Oryzias latipes: one gene and its partner. The protein of the gene in region 1 purifies or fractionates together with the protein of each later gene. This does not show direct contact. Links are inferred from orthologs where the notes say so. Each region holds a gene or a part of one and is shown on either strand. Other genes may lie near its edges.

Region 1 (4,035 bases):
GATACTAAGGGGGCTCCTATTTTAGATCCTAATTTCTGTAATGCAGGTTTTTGCAGATCATGTCGATAAGTTAACCTCAAAAAGTTCTCGTCTAAAGTAGTTTGGTGGGTTTTCTTGTTATTCAGTTTTATTCTTTGGTTCAGTCAATGAGGTACTGATCCTGTTGATCCCTTTATCTATACATAACATTATTGATTCCTTATTTCTTTTATTTTTTTAGCAGACCAATTTTTATTTTGAAGTGCAAGCTCTGGCTTTTTTTGTTTTAAGAGTTTTTCCATTCATATTGACTTCTTCTCTCATCATCTAAACATCCTGAAATATTTCAAAATATTCTAGATAAAGTAAAATTGCTCTACTTTAGTTGGCATCTTGTGCCTAAACTTTAATTGGAAAACAGTGTAAAGTTAATGCTGTGACTTTACATTGCGTGAATCTGCAGCGTACAGTCCCAGCGTGCCGTAGGCCTCTGTCGGTCAGCGTTGACCATGGATGATGTATTCTAACTCTTGTCTTGTCTGGTCGTCTGAGACAACGTTGGCGGCGGATGAAAAGGCCAATCTGGGAGAGGCATTCTTTGCCGCAGAAATTGCATCTGTAGGCAGTTCCCTGGCTGTCATTGTTCCGAACCTTTCTGCAAGGTGGCTTGTCTTCTGTCACAGTGTACAGTGTAAAGTCACAGCGTACAGTTCCAGCGTGATGTTCCAGTGTAAAGCAGCTGAACAAGCAGACAGAAACAAAGAAAGTACGTCTGTCTTGATTGTTGAAAAAAGGAAATTTGTTCTGAGCTTGGAGTGAAAAAATAGTAAGCCTTGGATAAAAGACTACATTATCCTTTAAAGTCAGGCTGTGCACTCAACTCTTTACATAAAAAAGATGGATCACTCTGTAGATTTGAAGATGGATGTTGTCACTAAGAACTTGATACTGGAAAACTAATAACCCTCTTCCTTTTTTCAGTGTAATTTTCTGGCCTCCAGTGGCAGAAACCTTTTAGCAAATGCTAGATTCAATTAGTTAAATCGGAGCACATATCAGGTTGCTTTTTTGTCTCTTATTAATACTCTGTTGTTGTTATTTCTCCAGGAAGTGGTACTTCTAAGAAATTAGCCAAGAGGAATGCAGCTGCTAAGATGTTGTCACGAATACACGACGTGCCAGTAGACCTCCGAAGCACCAATGACGCCGACACGGAAGAGGACACGTTTAACATGGTGAGGGGCCGACTGCGTTGAGGAGGATCCTTGGGAATGCTTTGGTTAAATGTCCCCAAACAAACACTTAAAACACAAATGCACACAACAAAATTGTCTCTTTCATAATCCTTGATGGCACAAACGACTAGCCTGTGGATTTTTCTCCACAGCACATGGGCGGTAGAGTGGAGTCGGGCAAAGCGAAAGGCTTCAGCTGCACGTGGGACTCTCTGCGGAACTCGGCTGGAGAGAAGATCCTCCAGCTTCGCAGCCACCCTCTGGGCATGCCCTCTGACTCCAACTCCTGCGCTCTGCTGAGTGACCTGTCTGCAGAGCAGCGCTTTGATGTCAGTTACCTAGACCTAGGTGAGCCCACATGCAGTTGGAGTCGCCACTGCACCGCGCCACATCATGTGCGCACATTGAAGGAATGTGCTTGTCAAGCAGAAAAGAAAGCAAGAATTGTAAACATCTTGCTTGCGTGGAAGAGGTTCCGCATCTTATTGAAAGCAATAAACATCACTGTTGGGACGTCTTGTTTGTAGAGGGTCCCCCCCTGGGAAAATGTAAAACTCGATTGATCATTTCGTTGAAGTCAACCTCATTTTGCTATCCGCTTTATTCTATATTTGACGTTCCTCCAGGCCTTGACAGGTGGCCAGAATGCAACCTTATCTAGAATGAAGGGAAGCTTATTTACATCAAAAACTGACAATATGAACTCTCAAAACCTTATTTGGCTGAGAGAACATAGGAGATAAATGCATCATTCCAATGGGTTTTAGAGGAAAAGCTGCATTTGCTTAAACATATTTGTTGATGACTCTTGTTCATATTTATATGAAATGTAAGGCAGTTTGATTGATTACACAGATTATGTCCACCTGCACCACTTTGGGTTTTTTTTTCCTTCCAAAACTTCACATTTGGGGTTTGTTTGTTTGTCACCTTAACAACCACACTGTTGTGAAATTGCTCAAGTGTAGGTTTCATAACCTGATACTGGGGGTCACTTACCTACCGGTAGTATTTTATTGCCGTTGGATAGAAATTTATTGCAGATAAATTCATGCAAAATGTGGTCTTCCGTGAAAAGAAAAAAGTATGAAGAGTGTGTTTGCTTCACATTCTGTCCCGTCTCGTTTCAGAGGAGCGCAGCCTCAGCGGCCTGTGTCAGTGTCTGGTCGAGCTGTCCACTCAGCCAATCACGGTGTGCCACGGCTTTGCTACGAACACCGACGCCGCTCGGGCCAACGCAGCTCACAACGCACTTCAGTACCTCAAAATCATGGCAGGAGGGAAATAAGGAAACTGTTGCCTTCCTCCTGACAGATTCAAAAACTCGCCAAGTTATCATTAATAATATTATTATTTTGTAAAGGGTCAAATGAATAAATCCCAAATTGAGACTTTTTTCCTACACGTCAATCTCTGAACCCAGTTTTTAGTTTATTTTATTCTACGTCTGACACGTGCCACTGAAGATTTATCTGCCTAAAATAATCTCACGCTCATCTTCTTCGTTGATGACACCAGTTCTTTAGCTTCCCTTTCACCCACTGTGTTTTATTAAATACAGACTATTTTAGAAAGTATTCAGGTAAAACTATAAATGGAGATTCTTCATTAAGAATCCTGGTTTACAGGGAGGAAGTATAAAAAAAAAGTTTATATTCTTCCAAATGTAAAAAGTAACAAACTGCTCAATACGTGAATTATTTCAGATGTTAGTGAAGGAGCCTACCCAAGTCCTGATAAACTATTTAAACCCAACAGTTCAACACTGCCACATTTTAATGTTTAGCCATGCTATCTTTTATCTTTAAGCAAATTAGGTGTGTATTTTTGGAAACTCTTTGAGTTGTTGTCACGGTGTCATAAGTATCTGACCAACTCTGTTATAGGCCGTTCGCTAATCTGGTTCCGTTTTAAACAAATGTTCCTTTCTGACTGACAGTGAGGTGTGACCAAGCCTCACTCTATTCTAGTTATTTAACGCATCGACTTCCACATCACAGACTCGCCATATAAAGCGACCACATGTTCTAATGTGAAAATATTTATACCTCAAGACTATTACCGTGCGTGTGTTGAATGTGTAGCGTAGACTCCTTGTGTTCTCTGTCCTTGTGGATTAGGTTCTTTTAAATAAAAGAAACTTCATTTTACTGATTGTCTTTTTTGTTCTTTGATTCTGGAACGTTCCATACAGTTTGCACGTTTGTTGATAAAGGCTCTAAAATGAAAAAGTGGGATTTATTATTTAATGCAGCTTATAAGGTTTATATTATGCGGTTATACCAGCAAAGTCACAGCTGTTTTACTTCAACACAAAAGTGACAACTGACACATTTGAGAAATCCTAATATAGTTACAAAAACTTAGAAGGAAAAAACATGAAATTTTATTTTCAAAGTGCATCTGTGGCTGTTTTTTAATGAAATATTTCCTAGGCATTATTATGTTTCAACTTTTTAAAAGTTTTTCTATTATGTAGTCCACATTGTGCACTACACAACTATATGTATTCACCCAAACGTTCAAGAACTATGAAAGCATACAAAAACTTCACATCTGGATATAATATATTCAGTAACCTGAAGATCAAGGTAAATCCAAAGTTTGGAGTCATTTTCTTAGCTGTTACATTTTTAAATGGACTCTTCAGAGTAAAAGAAAAGCAGAGGTAAGGTTGTCTGTCAGCTGCTGAGTTTCTCTGCTGAGGGGCTGAGGTCTTCATCTGCAAATCCGCTGCTGTCCGACTGCACACTGTCACCCCGAACCACCTCCCCTACACAAAAACACAGTTCCTTTTTACGCGCTGCACAACACAGTAGAA
Region 2 (3,820 bases), on another chromosome or scaffold:
AACGTATAGCAGTAACTTTTGCTCCATATTGTTCCGCATTCACATCTTCGAGTGTTGGAGCTTAAAGTGCACCACATCATCTCGACCACACATGCTCCAATCGTGTTTATGAGTGGATTTTCATCAAACCAGTTTGGTGGGACACAAACATGACTTTTGAAGAGGATGCAGACACATCGTGAGAATGCGACTCACTTGAGTAGGAGTTCAGTGCACTGTCTCTGTGGGGCAAAGCAGGCGATGGCCCACACTTTGATCTCGATGCCAGTGTGGAACTGCTTGTTCCTCATGTCCCACACCCCCTGAATCGGTGTGGCGATTGCCTTGTTCTGCAAATTTAACAGCAGCATGTTTTTATTTTTCAGTGCTCAAAAAAAATGAAGACCACAACACAGACGTGCAGATCATCAGACGTACCCTGCCGCCGTACAGTATTGAAGGTGCTTGCAGGACGCGGCCGTTCACTTCAGTCATTTCATCTCGAACCATCACTCCAAACTCACGAACGTATGGGTCAGTGTTAAAGTTGGCGCTCCTCATCTAGAGACAAAAGAAAAAGGGATAATAAGTATCTCACTAAATGCCTTTATCAGGTTAACCATGAGCTGCAATTCATTTACAACTTCTATAGATTTATTGAAATGCAATATTTGGAAAAGGACCGATAGAGTAGATATTTTAACCCTCGTCATCTGGACCCCACAAGATAGCACAAGGGTTAAAAGGCAGCGTTCTTAAAGAAGCTGTTACACTTTGACAAATAACTTTTACTTCAGGAACACTCAGATGTATTTGCATCTGACAAACTCATTTGCCATTTGGGTTTTTGGTTAGATTGCATTTTATTTCTGCCAACATTTTGTTTTTCAAACTGTCATGACTGAATTAAATTTCCATCTTGGCATAGTTTCTTCAGACAAAAAATTTGAAAGGCATATGAAACTTTCAATTTTCTCAAGATGATGCTAAAGTGGCTTAATAGCTTCAAACTTTTGTTTTTTTTAGATCTGTTTCAATTTATGATATTTTTCAGGAACACAGATGTTTGTGTTGGTATTTCTCACCAGTTTGCTGATCTCATCCTGGCGGTCTGGTGCTGACCGGGCTGTGGCACGGATCATAGTGGAAGTCTGATTGTCTGTCAGCTTTTTGATGCAGCGCTGCCCTGCCACAATGTTACAAACCTAAACAGAGAATCCATTGTCATGTTTCTTGAAATGTTTCTTGGGTTTCAGAAAGTGAAACAGCAAAGACCAAAGGTAGATCTTACCTCTAGGGGGAGGTAGGTGTGCTTTTGCTCTTGTCCCACCTGTAAACATGGAAGGTGGGGATATCGCAGAATGAGCTTGTATTTGTCTTTAAAATACTGGGCTACTGTGCATTCGATTGTTTGGCCATTCTCCTGTTGCAAGGGGAACCTAGTGAGTAGGAGGAGAAAAACACAGCATTTGTTTTTATTAGCACTAGGAGACTTCTTTGCTGGATTCAAAAGTTCCATCTTATTTCTGTTTTTACAGGTGCAAGTTTTTCTGTTCATCCTGTCCTGTTATTCTCCTACACATGGTGCTCTAAGCACAACAGAGCAGCTTAAATGTCTGGGTTCAAATGATGGAAAAAGTACAGAGAATTTACGTTTGGTGGCTGGCTGGTCTTCTGGTAACGTTGCAAACTCTGTACTTCCTCTTCATCTGTCCACAGTGAGTTATCTCAACCTTGAGGCCTAAAAATGAGAAAAGCATTTAAAAACTGATAAATAATTGAAATGCTGATTATTTAAGTTTGTTTTAATAATGCTTTTTAGTTTATAACAAGAAAATAAGAAACGGATTAACTAATGAATTTAGCAAACATGAACTGAACGTTTTTTGGATTATAACTGAAGCTTTCTTACCTTTAATTTCTTTAGTAAATTTGACTCGTTGAGAGTCTGTTAAAGGCTTCTGTTGTTCTTCAATGCTCTTAAAATCCAAAACTTCACACATGAACTCGATTACAGGCTGAGCTTTGTAGAAAGCTGTGGCTGAAACTGCAAAAAAAAAATAAAGCAACCATACCGATGTAAGACAAACAGAAACAACTTTACTAAGCAGCTTTTGTCAAAGTGATATGATGCAGACTTTACCGTCGATGTTGAGCATCATTTTCCACAGGGAGGGCCTGACCGACTGATGGAAACCAAACCACACTTCTCTGCCACCTCCCAGAGGGTTTGAGCAAGCTTCTGAAGGAGTAAAGAAAGACCGCCCAACAGGGGTATACCTAAAAGACAACAGTCGGTGATAAGACGTCTGGTAAGGAGAGGTTTAAAGTCCCACTCTGATCATCTCCGTTTTCAAACGGTTCTGAACCAAGATGGAAACGGTTTCCTTTCAAAAGGCTTGTTGCATAGAACTGAAGTGCACCATGTGGCGCTCAGTGTGCCGTCACTGCTTCAGCAGCTCTTTGAGCACGGCTCTTTAAATTAGGATTGTGCCGTTTTCAGTTAAAATCAATAAACCTGTATGGTTTTCTAGGACAGTTTCTCCAGAGAAGCAGGAGTTGATTAGAAATGTGCCTCTCTGACGTGACTGGGACTATTGGCGTGGAGCAACCCCGCCTCCATTTTCCCTCCCGGTTGCTGAGAGCTCTCTGTTTTCAGGCTCTCCTGCCACCTGCTCCTCCCCCATTTGAGCTTACTATTATTTATACATTTTCTCAATCATCAGAAAATGTTAAAAACACCAGTTTCATCAGATTGGGTCTTGAACACAAACTCATGGCACATTATTTAAAAAAACTAAATTCAGATTTGATATATTCAGCTGACTTTCCTGTAGTGTGCTTGTGGCATCTTGTTTAATCCTAATCAAGAAGTGATAATCTTAACTAATTCCATGAGGAAACAGGCAGCGGCTGTGCACTGCTTAGGCATCATTTGGCCACATAAGAGAGCTAGACCAAAACAGGAAATGGCGATCCTTCCAACAACAATTAGAGACCTACCTCATAGAAGGCAAATGTCTCATGACCACATCCAAGGCTTGGATAGTCTCAAAGGGAACACTGGGAAGCCGCCCTGACAGAGCTTCGTGCAGAGCTTGCAGGCTAACGCAAGACACCCATTTGATGGCAACTTTAAAACTGCGGTCTTTGCCTTCGCCTGGAATAGTCACCTCCAGCTCCACCTACATGGTTCATACAAAATGCCACTGCTGAGACATTTTAACATTGAGAGGAAATCGTTTCAACTATAATGTAAACAACAAACCTTTTCTCTGCCTATGGGCAAAGCCATGGCAGTGTAGAGGTTCTTTCGCCCGTCGTACACCGGCTTCCGGTCCCCAAAGATCTGAGTTTTAAAGTGCTGGACCATGTGCTCCACAATTTCTCTGCAGACAAATTAGGCGAGTCAAGACAATCCCCATAAAATTACACACAATTCTGATGAGAGTTTAAAAAAAAGCAGACTTTGAACTCACCGATTCACCCTTCTGGGGCATTTTTCAGGTTTGATGTCTATGTCGTAATGGTAAACCTCCAATTTTGGGATTTCCATCTCAAAGAAATTGGCCTGGAGCTTGATTGTCCTGCCCATGGTGCCAAAGTCTGGCCGTGATGGCGGCTTGAACACATATTCTGGCACTGGGGAAGATGGGGGCTCTACAAAAAACAACAACAACAACAACAACAAAAAACGCAACAGTTGAAACAACATTATTACTACACACACAAAGTGAAAATGTGCTTTACGGCCCTGAGGTAAGTTTGCAAGAACCAGTTTGAAAGCAGGAACAAGCAACGGCTTGCATCTGCATGCATGTAAACATTTTGTGACCATAAG

The links.
Region 2: the proteins of tarbp2 (region 1) and protein argonaute-2 purify together in Homo sapiens (co-immunoprecipitation; 10 studies listed by BioGRID and IntAct, with this or other methods). This does not show direct contact. The link is inferred for Oryzias latipes from reciprocal best matches to the Homo sapiens genes TARBP2 and AGO2.

What each region holds. Positions count from the first base shown.
Region 1 is NC_019863.2:10,465,105-10,469,139, reverse strand, and holds the end of tarbp2 (RISC-loading complex subunit TARBP2), read left to right. Parts: intron 1-1,086; coding exon 1,087-1,214; intron 1,215-1,366; coding exon 1,367-1,562; intron 1,563-2,344; coding exon 2,345-2,502; 3' UTR 2,503-3,364; downstream 3,365-4,035. Other genes in the region: protein TESPA1, read right to left, coding at 3,896-3,987. UniProt on the Homo sapiens protein: Required for formation of the RNA induced silencing complex (RISC). Component of the RISC loading complex (RLC), also known as the micro-RNA (miRNA) loading complex (miRLC), which is composed of DICER1, AGO2 and TARBP2.
Region 2 is NC_019869.2:10,705,546-10,709,365, reverse strand, and holds part of protein argonaute-2, read right to left. Parts: intron 3,640-3,820; coding exon 3,459-3,639; intron 3,369-3,458; coding exon 3,248-3,368; intron 3,165-3,247; coding exon 2,983-3,164; intron 2,260-2,982; coding exon 2,123-2,259; intron 2,027-2,122; coding exon 1,892-2,026; intron 1,721-1,891; coding exon 1,633-1,720; intron 1,419-1,632; coding exon 1,271-1,418; intron 1,185-1,270; coding exon 1,065-1,184; intron 541-1,064; coding exon 418-540; intron 330-417; coding exon 196-329; intron 1-195.